4 linked regions of the Arabidopsis thaliana genome follow. The protein of the gene in region 3 purifies or fractionates together with the protein of the main gene of each other region. This does not show direct contact. Each region holds a gene or a part of one and is shown on either strand. Other genes may lie near its edges.

Region 1 (4,787 bases), on a different chromosome or scaffold from region 3:
GAACTTTGTTTATATTCCCTTATCATAATCAGTCTTACTATTAGCATAATCAACTGTTTATGTACTGATGTCTTCTAATTAGAAAACTTAAAAAGGTAAAGAAAAAATAGAAAAAGAAAGAGCTCAGTTAAGAGGCCATATCACCAGATAAACTGGAGAAATGCAAAGGACCCAACCTTTACAGAAACCGATTTCATCACAGCTCTATTGCACCAGCCGGGAATCGAACCCGGGTCTGTACCGTGGCAGAGTACTATTCTACCACTAGACCACTGGTGCTACTTGTTTAAATGTTACTTCTTCAGTTATTTATACATAAACTCTCATAGTTCATATTTAATGAGAACATTTTGTATAATCTAATGTGGCAGGGATCTATTCTACCACTGACGCTATTTTAAGTGTTCAATGAAACCAAAAACTACTATTACCAACACACACCTTGATTGGCACAATGTAAGGAATGGCGTCAGTGTTCTAGTGGTAGAATAGTAAAACCAAATTAAACCGAAGCAGATTTCCAAAATTGGTTCAGCTAGGAATTTTGTTATGAATCAGAACTCAGAAGGCTAATGAAAATCCAAATTGAACAACAACCGTATAAATAAATATGTCAATGTTGTTTGTTGGTAATTTATCAATAGGAGGAGAAACATTGATAGACAGACAATTCAAAATTGAACTAAACCAGAACTCAAAAGTCGGTTATAGCTTCACATTTAGCTTCCAATATCTTCACAGCTTCAGTGAAGAGAACCTCTGGAGGCAGTGATCCGGTGGACTCAATGTTAACTGAGAAAAAAGACGACAAGAAACTCAATTACGATATCTTTCAGATCATGAGTAGCAGAGTAAAAGGAATGGGTTTTATTTTTCTCTTCTTACATATAAAATGGTTCTTAACACTGCCAAGATCCACATGGTCTACCAAATCATCGTCTCTTACGCATTCCTTACACAATGTGCACTTACGTGGCTGCGCTACTGTTGCCCTTTTCTTACCTGTTTTCCACAAGTCAGTATGAAATCAAATTTAAGTAAGTCATGCAGCCAAGTTCATCAGCTTGCATAAGATTTTATACTTCACCTTTTCCCATGTCTTCAATGTCGAAAACATTCTGTGGGCAGACGTTTACAAGTCGTTCAGCAAGTTCATCCTCAACTTCCCCACGTAGAACCACCTAAGATAGTATAAACAAAAGCATTACGAAACATATATATTGGGATGAGGAAAGACAAAACAAAGAGCTGTTTCCCATAAAGCATATGATAGATTGATGTATATACTTCTCACCTCAGGATGCATTCTATACCAAGCAGTCCCTACTGGAGACCACTTTGCATGTGTTTTACCAATGCCCTTAACCGCATGAGCTTCGAGCTCGATTTCCTGGGAAAAAAGAGATAAAAGAAGATGCACATGTTTCATCTCTCATTGCAAGTATGGTCTGCTTGGGTGTATATAAAAAGAATGTACAGAAACACTACCTGACCAGGGGCGAGTTTTGCTATCAAGATATCGAGGTCGCATGGAGTGATAGGATTATTAGCAAATTCAGGTAATGAATCTTGGCTGCAACTGAATGAAGTGTAAGTTTTTGGCTTTGAGGTTTTATTTTCCGATTCTCTCAGAAGCTCACTTCCATTTGGTAACCATTTTAAATCACTCGTTAAAACTACAAGAAAACGAAATGATATCTTTCATGAGAGATGGAGCTGATAATAAAACAAGAAATCTTCTGATGCTAACTAATGAACATATATTACCTTTAAGACGTGGTCTATTTTTCGGACATTTCACATGGAGTTTGAATACAATGGTGTTCTTTTCATTCGCCTGATCATGTTCTATCATACACAGATAAAGAAGTAAGCTAATCAGAAGAATTATCATCATATGTAGATGGATCACATACCACTGAAATATATGCTTACCGGATAAATATTCAAAAAGTCTTGGATCTGCGGCAATTGGAATAAGACCCATCCTGTGAGCAAGAACTTCGTCTATAATAACCGATGTGTTGTACGCTATCAACACTTTTTCAATAGCCATTGAAGGAACCTGCAATAAAGAAAGAAGCACTTTAAGCCAAAGATTACAACAATGAGGGATTCATCAGAGGTTGTATGAAAACTTGACAGACCTCAGCTATAAGGATCCTTCGGAATGCATTGGCAAACGCTGCATCAATACCAATCATATCAAATTCCATATCTGTCTTTGTGAGACTAACCACATCAACTTTGAAGTTATCATAGAAGTTTCCTAGCTTCACATTGTCGTCCTCTTCCGTAGAAGAAACATAGGTACCCGAGTAAATGGCACTCGCAGTCTACAGAAAACACAAACACAAGATTAAAGACTTCAAATTTCAAACAATCACTACTCAATATCATCTTGAATTTGAAAACAAAAGGTGTATTCTGGTAAAACACTTAAGAGCCAAACTCGTAAATTCACAGCTTTTCACAGGAAAAAACAAAACTTTTACTCTGTATCATGAACACAGCAACGATAGAACTCAAACCCACATGGGATCATTGAGAAAAGCTATAAAATTTGTAATTAGATAAGCTTATAACCAACAAAACAGAGCATAAAAGATTGTAACTTTGAACGAGAATAGTTCTTACATGAGCAGGAGCGTTGTTTTTAGAGACGACACGAGTTTGCTGGGCTTTGAGATGTGGAGGAAGTCCGGCAGGGACGTCAGGGAGATCGTCTATGTTGAAATTTTTGGCGAATTGTTTTTCTGCTTTAGTCACCATCCTTGTCTAGGTCTATAGCAGAACTAGGGTTTATCAAATTGAGAAAGAGAATTGAAGGGTTTAACAAAGGAAACCACAGGGGGTGAGGAAAGTAGTATTGGGTCAAAGAGTGAAGTCGAAGAAGCTTACCTGTGGCCGAGAGAATTGAGCAATTTAGAGAGAAAGAGAGAGTAGGAGGCGGCGGCGAGGAGATGAAGAACAAACGGTGAAGGGTTTTGAAAAAGCCGCCGGTTTTATTTAATCCCTTAACTCTTTCCGGTTCGAATTAAAACGCATTATTACCAAAAGAAACAATAAAAAATTCATTTCAAAAGAATACTTCTTCTTTTTTTACATTTCAAAAGAATACTGTTTAACACTAAAAATAAAGCCATTACTTTAAAAAATAAAAATTTATTCCACAAGATGAATACTTTCTTTTGCTCATGATTTTGTTTTATAGCAAAAAACAATAATAAGAATTTATTCTTTTTCGGTGAATTGTTTAATTTAAAAAAAAAAAAAAAACTTTTCTGCAATCAATTCGCAGCATATTGGTTAAGCTAAGAATATAAACTAAAAACATATGTAAACAACAATTCTAGGAATGACTCCTTTTGTTTTTGGCATCTACTGTGAATGATAGGCTTTTTTGAACTCTAATTAATATTGGTCAAAAAAAAAATGTCGATGGGACTCTTCTACGTTAGTATCTAAGAATGTGGCAATAGCACTACTTAATTTAGAGCAAAATAATAGAAGAAAACACGACACTTACTTCATCAAATTTTTGTTGGGCAATGAGAATGTTGTCTATAATAAAGTTTCCGGCTACAAAACACATATTTGTATCTCGGATATCAAATACAGAAGAAGAAAAAAAAACTTTGAGGTGCAGGCTTAGAATCTTTGAGATCATCTTATGTATAACATTACAAAGGCTAATACAGTAGGTCGGAATCTTGACATTTCCTAGAGTTCTATCTCCTTCGGGAATTAGGTAAATATTGGAGCATCAATGCGATGAGCAAGTCATGACCAAATACTACAACAGTTACAAGTTACATTCCTTTGCGTAGCAATCAATCAGCAAATGGTATATTGGTAATTTACTGACACTCTGCTAATAGAAGGAAGAGCTCTTCATCGGTTATGGCTCCCATCTCCATTGCCCTTTCCAACACACTTAATCCTCCACCATCCTCTATTGATGGACGAGCACCTCTGTCAAATTCAAAGAAGAGAGACACTAAGTATCTACTCAAAGTGCCCCTCATGAGATTTATTAGTTAGTGTGTTACCTTCTCAGCAAAACCTTTGCAAATGCGTTGTTCCCTGATGCGATGCAATGGTGTAATGGAGTTCGTCCGTGGTAATCTCTCATGTTTATGTCAGCCCCGAACTGCAACAGCAGTTCAAGCAAGATTGGGTCACCGCTTTGACACGCCACATGCAACAATGAGCAGCCTTGAAGACAGTTTCTTGCTTCGTTCGAATTCTTGATTCTCTGACACGCATTTGGATCGTGCCTTTTCTTTACTTCATCTGGTGCATCAACATGGTGGTGGTGATATACATCAAGGTCAGTAATATCATCGAACTTGGTATTGATGATATTTGCATCTGCTTTTACAATGAGTCGGTAGATGTCTCTTATGTTCCTGCTTTGAACCGCTTCCCATATTCTACTTGAGGCAGTAGAATTTGCTTCTCTTTCATCTTTGACAACTAGTGCTTTCTCCAGGTACTAGCTAGGCATAAACATTATCAGCTTTAGTATCATAAGCCTTTTCTATTCACAAGAATATGCTCATTTGGATGATGCGTCAAGTGACATGAATCTGAGGTCTATGTATGCGAAAACTTTAAGAACTAAATCTCATACCTTTCCGTTAATATATTTCTCCTTCAGAGTAAACCAATCTTCTGAAGATGGTTTCGAAACTGATGCAAGTGTGTCTGTCGATCCCTTTTCACTGTAAATATTCAACAGAAGATAGGATCATAGGAAAGTAAAGATCACCAATCTCATGATT
Region 2 (3,804 bases), on a different chromosome or scaffold from region 3:
GGATACACTGGCATATCCGCGTCATTCGTTGAGCCGTGCAGCATTGATAACAAGTGGTAGTCCGATATTTTTCCTAGATGCATATACCACTTTGATAGTCTTCTACTCATCAACAGCAGACCCGTCAATACCTTTCCCTCCACCTCAAGACTGTAAGTTTTCTCACCAAATGAAATCCAGTTCAACCACCTTTAGATCTTTGAGACTATGTTGATTCGAAAACTTATATCTTACAGGTTTATTGAGGCAGACCATAAATAAAGTGAAGCAAGAAAGGAGCATCACACCAAAACTAGTGTTTATCCGAGGAGGACGAGACGATGCTACTGTCTTTGAGAACTATCTTATAGAAGAACAAGATGTGGACGGTAATGGTTTTGCTAGCGCCATGGGTTTCGTGTCTTTCCTCGATGATATTTCGCAGCGTGTCACTGAATACATGAAGTGAAAGCCAAATGACCCTCTAGTTTATTATACATCCAAACTCAAAATTTTCAACTGTGTCAGAGTTTTACTCTTCTTGTTGTAACATTTGCTTTAGACTAGCATCCCAACTTTTTTGCTCTCTTAATCAAAATGAATAATTAAGCTAAAATTTTGTTGCAAAACTTCATTTTCTAAACTTTGACTTACATATTTGGTAACACTAGAGCCAAAGAGCAAAAAGATATGTTAGTCTATTACATGCTCATGGCCACAACCACTGCTTCAAGCTTACAAGCTAATCTCCAACATAAACCTGAAAACATGTTCTTAGCAAAAATATAACCTTGAGTTCATTCATCTTCTTCATCACTCTCTACCTCTTCACCACTTCCACTTACGCTCCCGTCCTCGTTCTCATTATCTTCACCAACCCCGCTCCCATTTTCTTCCATGCTATGGTCCTCATTCCCGCTCTCTTCGCTCTCATTCCCATTCTCTTCCATGCTGTTTTCCTCATCCTCCTTCTCGTTCTCCTCATCATTCCCATTCTCTTCCGTATTTTCATCGTCGTTCTCCTCATCATTCCCATTCTCTTCTGTATTTTCATCGTCATTCTCATCTTCCTCATCGTTTCCATTCTCATCCTCCTCATCGTTTCCATTCTCTTCTTCCGTGTTGTCATTCTCAGTCTCCTCGTCATTCCTCTTAGTTTCCTCATCTATTTTGCTTTTCCTTGCACCCTTTTGCGTAGATGGTTCTTCCTGTTTCCTCTTCTTCGTCTCTTTGGGCTTCGAAGCAGTTCCACTTGAAGATTTCAAAGCAGCTCCACCAGCAGGATACGAAGCAGCTGCAGCACCCGCCTTTTTCCCCGCATTCTTCTTCTTAAAATCTGAAAACCAGTCATGTGGATTACACTAGGATTGACATCATAAGCTCAAAGTGCACACACCTAGGCCAGTGTCCATAACAAGACAAATCACAACCTAAGCCATTTCTACTAACACTCCATGAAAGTAACAACAGATAGTGACAATAGGATCTTCATCCGAACAAAACACTTACCTTCAAGAGAAGATTTAAGCGGCTCCAAAAATTCTGAAAAATCCATTTCTTCTAATGCCTTAAACACATCATCAGCCTTCATAGTTTGTCTTCTTGCATCTTTACAAAAATCATTTGCCCTATATCATTCACCCCCAAATTAAACTAAATCCATCAATTCGATCGATCACAATTCACAAACACTAACATTCATCAATTGAATCACATTAACATAAACCCAAACTTGGAACATTCCAAATCATTCACTATCATAGTGCAGAAATTCGAAAAAAAGTTAGGGTTTGTGAAGTGTACATACGTGGCGGAGAGGTAGTGGATGAAGATCCTCGCACTCTCTGAGAATGCGAGCAAAGCTTCCTTGTGAATACTGACGTCATAATCCGGCGAACACTCCGACAGCTTCTTCTTCACCACCCGGCGCACAATAGCTAGCGGCAGCTCGTCCACCACCACTTTCTCCGACTCCATTCTTCTCTCCTCTCTCTCAGTCGCCGTCTTTCCCGCCTTTATGTTAATAATACAACAAAACACATCGGCCCAGTAAGCTGATCAGCCTATTAAAATATTTAAAAGCCCATATTCAAGTTTATAAGCACTAAAGAGTTATGACCACGCCGCTCAATATTACCCGTTGGATTGATTGACAAAATCCTAGCCGTCAAATCGTACTAGCAAATCGGCCCATTATTCAAATTGATAAGCACTAAAGAGTTATGAGCACGTTGTCAATCTCACCGTTGGATAACCTTTATTAAATCTTCACCGTCCAATCGTAATACTAATAAATTCGATCAAAACACGAATAAGAATCGGAGTCGTCTTCAACCTCTGGAATTTGAGACATCTTCGAATAACCAGATTCTCCGAATTCGAGCCATTTCTAAGAATTTCATACTCTGATTAATGTCTTACTCAAACGCCTACGCACCGTCGGCACCGGAGCTACCAGAATCGTTCGTTCAGCAGCAGCACGATGGTGAAAGTAGATACACTTACGCGTATCCATCATATCAACCAACTCAGCAATTCAGCTCTTACTCCGGGATGTTTTCCCCGGAAACGCATCCGGAGATTGTGAGGAGCTTTGAGTCGGCGGATAGAAACCGGAGCGGATTTCTCGAAGAATCGGAGCTCCGGCAAGCGTTGTCGTTATCTGGGTACGATGGAATTAGTAACAGAACGATTAGGTTGCTGTTGTTTATTTACAAGATTCCTGTAGATTCTCTGCTTCGGCTTGGTAAATTCACTTATTGCAGCTTTTGAAATTGGCTTTTTGATTTCAAATATGAATGATGTTACAAAATAGCCATGTTTCTACCTTTTTATGTAGGTCCTAAGGAGTATGTTGAGTTATGGAACTGCCTTGCGCAATGGCGTGTAAGTGAACACTTATGTGGATCAATCTAGTTGAGGCAATGTGTGTATTCTTCTATGCCTTAAAAGTTAAAAATGGAGTGTTACTTTTCAATGTGTGTTCTTTTGTAGGCAATATTTAACAGGTACGATAGAGATAGGAGTGGAAAGATGAATTCTACCCAGCTCAGAGACGCTTTCTATAATCTCGGGTGCGTGCTTCCAACCTCGGTTCACCAGCTTATCGTATCTCAGTTTGATGATGGGACTGGCAAAACTGTTGACCTATGTTTCGACAGCTTCCTCGAGTAAGTTTTCTGTATGTTTTCATCGATTCTTGCGGTTCTTAATTTGTATACTAAGCATCATCGGTTTGTTTCCCTCATTTTGTTCTGCAGGTGTGGGATGATTGTGAAGGTATGATCTTTTAACCTCCATGAGAATTTCGACAATGTGTTTACATGAATCTAAACCACTTGAAATTGTTTAAAATGTGTCGTATGCTTATTAACAGGGATTGACAGAGAAGTTCAGGGAGAACGACCCTGGTTACACAGGCTACGCAACGCTCTCTTACGATGTCTTCATGTTGATGGTCATTCCGTTCATCGCCACCTATGATTAATGGTCACTTGCTACTTCTTTCTTTTTCTCAATCACAGATTCAAGTTGTATATAGATAATAGATGCCTGAGTACTGACTGAATAGGAGAGTGAATTCAAACTAGTGAATAGTGTAATAAGCTAATGCTGAAGAGAGCAAGAGAATAATAAATCAAAGCTTTAAGATTATAACAAGTTTTTTAGCAGTAACAGAAGTGAAATGTTAAGAGCCAATTTTGAGCTGTTTGCAAACAGATAATCCTAAAATCACTGAACCAAGGACCGAGAAGGCTCCTTGCCTTGAACGCCAAAACTCGATCCACGTCAATGGTCTTCTAATTTCAATCAAAACCTTCTCGA
Region 3 (3,604 bases):
TCTTCTTATATATACCAGAGAGAGTTGTGTATATAAGCTAATTAAGTTGAAGTTGATGCATGGGTGATGAAGACAAGATCAGCATCAGCAGGGAGATGGGTGAATGAGCTTGTGAGCTTTGATGTGTTTTGTCTCTTAGACATCGTCGATTGGAAACCTTTCTATTGCTTGTCCCACAGGAAACTCACCACCACTAATAGTGGGAACATCTTCGTATCTCATAATAATAATGGTGAATCCAAGATTTCTTTAATAACTTAAGTATTCATTTTTACCTTTTGGTTTATGGCATACCCTTTAATTATTTACAAGACCAACCGTTAGAGGATGCCACAATGGTATTTTCTGCCAATTTAAGTCGAAACAAATTTTATTAAGAACGACAAGAAACCTAAGACTTCATTATTTTCCCAAGGGCATAGAATAGATAGATAATAATCTAAAGCAGTTTTTTTATATGATACAAAAGATAAGCAGAACAAAAGGCTAAAATGATAAGCAAGCAGAACTCAAACTCTTGATTATTTTGTTTTCACCGGTGCCTGCTGCGTTTAGATGGTGGCATGTTCTTCATGCTGCTACTACCGCCTGCACCGCTACTTCCAGGACGCGATTTCCCAAACGCTTTCATCTTCCTTCTCTTCCTCTCTTCCTCACTATCAGACTCAACTCCATGCTCTCTGTCTGCATTAGTAGCTTCTCTCTCCAGCTCAGCCCAAGTCTTACCTTTCTCTTCCTCTGACTCTTGCTCTGAGTCCTCTTCTTCTTCTTCATCGTCTGACTCACTCTCTGATGTCTCGTCCTCTGACTCAGACTCAACCTCCACATCTGATGGTTCATACCCTTTGTCTGAGTCCTCAGAGCCGCCAGACTCTGAATCGCTTCCGTCCTGATTCAAAAACTCCCATCCTCCAGCATCTGTAAAGCTCTGCGGATCATCCGTGATCGTCTTCAGGATCTGTCTCCAGTTCAGATTCAGTTTGCTCTCGTAGTACTTTATATCTGTAGTGTCAAGCCATTCCTTTATCCCCTCTAACTAACTTGTTGGAACTGAGTCAACCCTAAGAACATCTTTCTTCAAGTCCTTGAAGATGATAGCCATGTCAAAGCTCTTTTGACCAAACCCAACTCTCTCAAGATTCACAATCTCAATCTCACTTAGACAGACCACCAAGAACGGGGATTCTGTCAGCTCAACTAAGCAGCTTGAGGTCGGTATTATGAAGGTAGATGTCTTGTGGGGGACACCATTGAAACCAAACTCTCTCAGAGGTTGATCAAACTCTAAGCTCAAACTTGCAAACTGGGGTAGTTGCCACATATCGTTGACCTGATTTGCAAAGTGATTGAAATCCATGTTGATCTTATTTTTCCTATCGCGCTCTCTCTGTTCTTCAACAATCTCATCTGCATCATAAGCTGATGATCTCCTCCTACCTCCTAAAGACTGCACAACATCCATTACCTCCACATAAAACTGTACGTCTTTTGTTTTCTTGGTTCCTACCATGATGTGGTTGTGGAGATGAAAATGTAAGAGGGTGGTCATCTCCTTCTCCGCCGGCTGAAAAAACGCATGCTTTATGTTTGCAAACAGGACATCAACGCGCTCGTTGGTCGTTGAATACCTAAAACCATTGACATGAGCTTCAAGTGTCCCACGATTCTTCTTGCGTCCACTAAAAGGCGGACGGATCCACAGATTGGACAAACTTAAGGGTTTTGAGTTGTTCCTTACAATCTGAAGTTTTTCTTGGTTCACCAGTGAAGTTCTCTCAGCTCTCTCTGACTCCCGTGCCATGACTTTCCGTCTGAGGCTCTTAACCTGTTGAACTACATCGCTGCTATGCCTTGAATCCTTGGTCCGGAATGAAACCTCCTTGAGGTAGATAGCGTCCTTGTTTTTCAAAGAGTCATTAGGGTTTAAGGGTGTACCCGGGACATTGAATATTACACGGATGGTGTTTTGATTGCCTAAGACTGTTCTTATTGTAGTCACGTTGAATGGAACCATCCTGCCGTATATTGGTAACAATACAGTGTCGCTCTTGTGATCAACCGTGATCATCAAATCCCTAGGTTGGGGTATGTCGTTAATATTCTTGTAGAGCTACATGTCACCAGCAAGCTGATCGAATACAACCACAGACCAAGAATCAAACTTCAAGTAATAAGCCTCTTTATAGAACTGAAAGAGAACAGAAGAAAAAAAAACGTAAGAAAGTAAACTTCAACGAGAACAAGTTATTTCGGATGCCTCTTCTAAGAAGAAAACAATCTCTATTTATAAGAAAACGTAAACACAAACATAAAGAGAAAAGGAAATAATAAAAAGGAAGAAATCTTTTTTATCATTAAAATCTGTTTCTATATAAATGTAGTTTAAGGGTTTTTATTTCTTTTTCAAATTGTTTTCAACTTTATATACAAATAATAAATATATTTAATACTTTTTAACCAATTGTATTTAATCATATATTTTTTATTGGTTGAATTGGTTATAATTAATGATATTTTTTATATAAAAAAGTAGATTAAATGAGATTTTTATGATTTCTTAATATGTGTGTAAATATCTTAAACTACAACTAATATAAAACAGAAGAAGTATTAAGTTATATATATATATATATATGTCATACTAATAAATCATGAGGAGATCTAGGGTTTAGAAACTGTAAATCATAACCTCTTCAAGAACATATGTAGCTCTCGATCGTTTTTCTTTCTTCATATCCTTCTTTCGTTTCCATCTGCGACCTCCTTCCCTAATCTGCAGTTCATATTATTGATGGTCGATGAAGAAAGGAGGAACATGATAGTACAAACTTGTCCATGCTCAGACGACGGCTAGGGTTTTGAATCAGAGAAAATTAAAAGAGAAATTTTGTTGTTGTGATTACTTTTTTTTTTTGGGTATGATCTTTAATTTTATTTTATTCTTATGAAAATTAAATTCTCAATAGGATTAATAAAATTAGCATTAGTATGTCACAAAAAGGGTATATCTTCATGTTAAAGGTTTTGGCTAGAATTACGGTTTGAATGATATGAAAATTCAATCACATGCAAAAGACTATGGAAGTTAAACAATAAAACTGTTTACATAGCCTCAAATCATTCACATACAAAGACTTTGAAAGCTAAAACATAAAGCTTAACAGTACTGAATCTTAAAGTCGCCATAAGTTTCACACATGCTATGATCAAATACATATATCAAATAAAATAGGAAAACTCAAAGCTAGCTTCACTTACCTTTACCATCATCCATTTGCTTATCATTTCATCACATCTAAGATGTCCTTAGACGGTGGCTCGATCCAGACTCCTAAGAGGGCAAAGTTCTTTCTGCATTTGCCATATTGTTGGTTTTGGAAGCTGCTTACGCGGATAGTACCTGGCTTCATCAAACGAGTAGGATACACATCCCTTGCAATCTAAACCATACTTTGGGAAGTACACACTGTTCCTCATCCCAAGAACATCCAATCTCGTCTCCGAGGAATACATACTTGCAAAGATTGTCACGCCGTCAAGAGTAGTACTATTTATCTCCTCCCAATTTGAGGAGACAAGTTTATACACCATCGGTATCTCGCTG
Region 4 (4,904 bases), 6.5 Mb from region 3:
ATTCTCTTTACGGAAGATGTGTGTGATGCGTCCTATCACATATTGTCATTGCAAAGTGTGTTAGCTCATTATGCACATGGTGGTTTAGCTCTTTATGTAGATTGTTAGGATCTGGTTTGAAAAAATAAATAATAGTTACTTAACATTCATACCCAAAAAAATAATAAAGAATAGTTGATAATATTTCATGAAAATCGATTTGTTTTGGTGGACATACATCGTCGTCTCTACTCTATTGTCTCGATCGCAAGTAATATGACAAATAAAGCAGCAGCCCTAGCAATAAAACATGTGACTACTAAAATAGGAGGATTTATCTTTACTTGACGAACTATAAATTAAATATCTACTCTTTTACCTTGACTTTGAAAATTACTTTTTAAGATTGCCTTTTACAATTATGTGGAATAGCGGCACACATTTACGTAAATTTAACTTCAATTTAAAACAATGATTTATTCATTTTCATCATACAAACTTTTCAGCACATTTTCTCCTTTTTAATATAATTTTATATATTATAGATAGAGATATAGATCAAACAATGTATGACTTTAAACTTAGATTGTAAATTCTTCTTACTATGCTCGAAAATTTCATCTACGTATATAGATCTATTGTAAACCTAAGTTTAAAACGGAAATCAGTTATTGATAGTAATCTAGTAAGTTTAATCAACTATGCGTTATAACATAATGAAATCATATATACGAGCTTAGATATCTAATTCAGTTAATCAACAAGTCAACTAAACAAGGCTTCACTTTTCCACACCTCTACAGATCGAAATTATTATATATTCGAATTATGTAACTAATGTAAGTCTTGCAACGTGTGGATAGATACAAAATGGATATGTCCATAGGTATACATATTAAAAATATAACTAGAAATGGTATATTACTAACAAAATTTTACCCCCAAAGGTGGCCATCCACTAGTAGCCACATGCTTATCTAGTAGACATTGAACATGATAAAAAGTGCCAAATAAGTGGAATAATCAATGGGAATCTTCATTCCTATAAACAAAAACATTTTCAAGCCTATGACATAGCTAGCTACTCTACAACATGTATATGCCAATTGGGATATAAATGTATTAAAGCATAACCATTAATTTGACAAATAGAAATAAATAGTTCAGAATGTATAAGTTGAGAAAAGTTATAATGATTGGTAGGGAGAGACTCAAAAAGAAAAAAGGATGGGTAATGGGACCTATTTTCCCCAACATCCCACATGCACACTTCCCTCTCCATTCTCTCACATTTATTTCTTTCATTCTAATTTATCCATTCCGTGTGTAACATATTCACTAATAATCTCATCTCACTAACTCATTCATTGATTGTGATATGTTTATCTAGAATTAGTGTTTTAACACTGTGTCTACATATGATTTCCTTTTCATTGTATGTGAACATGTTAACTCACTAATCATTTTGTATTTTCGAGTTAACATGAGTCTCCACTTCGGTAGACTAAAGTAAAGATAGGTTTGAGTATAATAAAGTTTAAAATTTGCTTTAAAATCAATATTTATAAATAAGTTTTTATCATAAGTGATTTTTGTATGTTATATTGGACCTTGTATAAACAGACTACAGAAGAAAATTATTTATGAGAACTTGTAATGTTAGAGTGGACCTCGTATAAACTAATTATGTGGGCTTTTACCATAAACTATTTATGAAAATTATTATGGCCCACACCACTATAACTAAAGCCCACATATTTAGCAGCCCAGTTTCATTGTAAGAGACATGTTCGCTCTGGAACTAGAATTTTCTGGTTTTTGGGTATTTGTTTTCTTATGTGTAGAGAAATGATGGTAACGATTAAATGTTGTGTATTACAATTTACAATGGTAAGACGATTAATATATTTACACACAATTTTGTTGTTGCTGTAACACGTTAGTGTGTGTGATGATAGAATTTCATAAAGCTTTAACTACGAGGGGCAAAATGTTAATTCTAAATAGTTGACAGCAGAAAAAGATATGTATACATAATATAAGGATTAAAACGTAAATAATAATAAATAAGGCGAGTTAAATTAAAACCCTGTTAAAACCCTAGCTTGAAACACATGTATAAAAACACTTGCGAGCGCAGCTTCATCGCCATCGCCATTCTCTCTCTCATCAAAAGCTTTTCTCCTTGATTTTCGCATTCTTTAGAGTCTTAACGCAAAGATGAGACCTCCTCTAACTGGTAAGAACCCTAGCCGCCTCTTCTCTTTTCTTCATTGCTTGCTTATCAGATTAACAATGGCGAGTGACACTCTTAGCTCGTTTAGTCTTTAAAACTTTATGTCTTTAGCTGAACTGATTGTCAACTTTGTTCTTTTTTGCTTAGAACTGTATTGGGTCTGCGTTAGTTCTATCGGATATAGAGTTGATGGTTGGGTTTTATGTTAAACATGGAGTCTCTAATGAATGGTCTTTTGTGTTCAGGAAGTGGTGGTGGGTTCAGTGGTGGAAGAGGGCGTGGTGGATACAGTGGTGGTAGAGGTGACGGTGGATTCAGTGGTGGTCGAGGTGGCGGTGGTAGAGGAGGAGGAAGAGGTTTCAGCGACCGTGGTGGTCGCGGCAGAGGAAGAGGACCACCACGTGGTGGTGCTCGCGGCGGCAGAGGACCAGCTGGCCGTGGAGGCATGAAAGGAGGAAGCAAAGTGATTGTGGAACCTCACAGACACGCAGGAGTGTTCATTGCAAAGGGTAAAGAAGATGCCCTTGTTACCAAGAATTTGGTTCCTGGTGAAGCTGTCTACAACGAGAAGAGAATCTCTGTTCAGGTATTATAGAGGATTGATTAATTGATTGATGGTTTGTATTTGCACTCCTTTTGATGAATTTGTTTTTAATGGTTCTTGTGATTGAATCTGCAGAACGAAGATGGAACCAAGACTGAATACAGAGTTTGGAATCCTTTCCGTTCGAAGTTGGCTGCTGCTATTCTTGGTGGTGTTGATAACATCTGGATTGTAAGCATCAGCTTGTGTGAATCTTATTGTTGTTGTTTGCGAGACTTGGTTCATATATTGATTGTTGTTCCCGTTTCAATGTAGAAACCTGGTGCTAAAGTTCTATACCTTGGTGCTGCTTCTGGAACCACAGTCTCTCATGTGTCTGATCTTGTTGGCCCTGTAAGCAGAACCCGTCCTTTATGTTGTGATTATCAGGTTTTAGACGTGTATTGGAGTTTCTTATATATTGCCTTTGTGATCTGATAGGAGGGGTGTGTGTACGCGGTTGAGTTTTCTCATAGAAGTGGTAGAGATTTGGTGAACATGGCAAAGAAGAGAACCAATGTTATTCCAATCATCGAGGATGCTAGACACCCAGCTAAATACAGAATGCTTGTAGGCATGGTTGATGTTATCTTCTCTGATGTTGCTCAGCCAGATCAGGTTTGCTTCTTTTGTTTAACTCACAATGAATGTCTAAATATTTGCCTCAAAAAGCTTGACCCAATACCATTATATGTGTCCTTTGCTTTAAAATGGTGTTTTGATAATTGCAAATGATGATCTTACTTGGATTCCCCTTCAGATCATTATGGGTGATGCAATCTCCAAGTTTCTGATGTACTGAAAATTCTTGTTTTTGTTTTTGTTAAGCTTAATCTTATTTTACTATGTACTTGTTTTACAATTTCGTTTTTAAGAACAATACTAAATTTAAATGTCTATTATTGCTCGGTTTTGGTTCTCCTGATGTTAAACCTACTTGTTTTCTAAATGCCATTCAGCTTGTGGGTTGCTTCTAGTATACTTTATACTGTTTTGTTTATGAAATTTTCTGTGCCATTTAAAACCGTGCAGGCTAGGATCTTGGCTTTGAATGCATCATACTTCCTCAAGTCAGGAGGACACTTTGTGATCTCAATAAAGGTGGGTAGCAATCGAAACATTTATTTAATCCATGATCTCTCAAGAGAGAAAGATTAGTGAACATGTATTGTCTCATTTTTGCAGGCAAACTGTATCGACTCCACCGTTCCAGCAGAAGCTGTGTTCCAGACTGAAGTGAAGAAGCTTCAACAGGAGCAATTCAAACCAGCTGAGCAAGTGACGCTTGAGCCATTTGAGCGTGACCATGCATGTGTCGTTGGTGGCTACCGTATGCCTAAGAAGCCAAAGGCTGCTACTGCTGCTTAGAAGTTTTCTACTCTACGCTCTTCCCAGTACCTCAGATTTTGCTTTGTCTCGGTCTCTTTAGAATCTGTATGGTTTTAGGGTTTATCTTAAATTTTGAGCTTTGTAATCATTTTGAACCCTGGTTATGTTCACTTGGCTTCCAGCGCTAACTTTTTCGACAAGTTTTTGATATATGGAACAATTATAATAGAATTTTGTCGACTGAGGTTGATTTCTTTAAATAATGACACCTCGTAATGCAAATGTAAAACGCCGCAAGAATTTGCACACAAACAAAACAAAGTTTGAAGACACGTTGCATTTTTAGGACACAAGCCAAGGAAATGTAAATACAAAAAGCTCACGCAGAAACTGTAACAAAAAACTAATGTCAGAAGTGGGGTTTGAACCCACGCCCTCTTACGAAGACCAGAACTTGAGTCTGGCGCCTTAGACCACTCGGCCATCCTGACCTTCTTTATTAAATATCATTGACAACATATATAGCAGGATGAAAAAACTAGAATGGCTTATTCTCAAGCATCTGGAATTTTATTTGGGTTACAAATTTTTTTGATACATTTGGGTTACATGAGGAAAAGTAACTAACATTTGTAATGCAATTTTTCCTTTTGGAAGTAAGTAACAAAACATAACTGATGGAACAGTTTCCTACAATCTAAAACTCTAAATAGAACAATTTGGTGCCCAAACCAATGAAAGACAAACAAAAAGTCACTACTAAGCTTAACAAAAAAA

What was found.
Region 1: the proteins of GTC2 (region 3) and ATRPAC42 fractionate together in Arabidopsis thaliana (co-fractionation; one large-scale study listed by BioGRID). This does not show direct contact.
Region 2: the proteins of GTC2 (region 3) and NF-YB11 fractionate together in Arabidopsis thaliana (co-fractionation; one large-scale study listed by BioGRID). This does not show direct contact.
Region 4: the proteins of GTC2 (region 3) and FIB2 fractionate together in Arabidopsis thaliana (co-fractionation; one large-scale study listed by BioGRID). This does not show direct contact.

The regions. Positions count from the first base shown.
Region 1 is NC_003070.9:22,397,384-22,402,170, forward strand, and holds ATRPAC42 (DNA-directed RNA polymerase family protein), read right to left. Parts: upstream 3,031-4,787; 5' UTR 2,902-3,030; exon of another isoform or gene 2,785-2,901; 5' UTR 2,773-2,784; coding exon 2,638-2,772; intron 2,337-2,637; coding exon 2,148-2,336; intron 2,066-2,147; coding exon 1,936-2,065; intron 1,849-1,935; coding exon 1,768-1,848; intron 1,677-1,767; coding exon 1,489-1,676; intron 1,391-1,488; coding exon 1,295-1,390; coding exon of another isoform or gene 1,205-1,294; exon of another isoform or gene 1,182-1,204; coding exon 1,088-1,181; intron 1,003-1,087; coding exon 886-1,002; intron 793-885; coding exon 695-792; 3' UTR 530-694; downstream 1-529. Other genes in the region: AGD2 (ARF-GAP domain 2), read right to left, coding at 3,861-3,975, 4,053-4,498, 4,637-4,727.
Region 2 is NC_003071.7:11,744,420-11,748,223, forward strand, and holds NF-YB11 (nuclear factor Y, subunit B11), read right to left. Parts: upstream 2,037-3,804; 5' UTR 1,957-2,036; coding exon 1,787-1,956; intron 1,768-1,786; exon of another isoform or gene 1,608-1,767; coding exon 1,489-1,607; intron 1,316-1,488; coding exon 777-1,315; 3' UTR 562-776; downstream 1-561. Other genes in the region: AT2G27460 (sec23/sec24 transport family protein), read left to right, coding at 1-152, 237-448; AT2G27480 (Calcium-binding EF-hand family protein), read left to right, coding at 2,392-2,725, 2,819-2,865, 2,974-3,149, 3,240-3,258, 3,356-3,466; ATCOAE (dephospho-CoA kinase family), read right to left, coding at 3,668-3,804. UniProt on the Arabidopsis thaliana protein: Component of the NF-Y/HAP transcription factor complex. The NF-Y complex stimulates the transcription of various genes by recognizing and binding to a CCAAT motif in promoters.
Region 3 is NC_003075.7:6,583,191-6,586,794, reverse strand, and holds GTC2 (GTC2), read right to left. Parts: upstream 2,069-3,604; coding exon 1,037-2,068; 3' UTR 533-1,036; downstream 1-532. Other genes in the region: AT4G10660 (CDC68-like protein), read right to left, coding at 3,307-3,604.
Region 4 is NC_003075.7:13,072,040-13,076,943, forward strand, and holds FIB2 (fibrillarin 2), read left to right. Parts: upstream 1-2,050; 5' UTR 2,051-2,199; coding exon 2,200-2,218; intron 2,219-2,460; coding exon 2,461-2,801; intron 2,802-2,894; coding exon 2,895-2,990; intron 2,991-3,074; coding exon 3,075-3,152; intron 3,153-3,239; coding exon 3,240-3,416; intron 3,417-3,523; exon of another isoform or gene 3,524-3,596; intron 3,597-3,830; coding exon 3,831-3,899; intron 3,900-3,983; coding exon 3,984-4,166; 3' UTR 4,167-4,393; downstream 4,394-4,904. Other genes in the region: DTX35 (detoxifying efflux carrier 35), read right to left, coding at 4,537-4,618. UniProt on the Arabidopsis thaliana protein: S-adenosyl-L-methionine-dependent methyltransferase that has the ability to methylate both RNAs and proteins. Involved in pre-rRNA processing.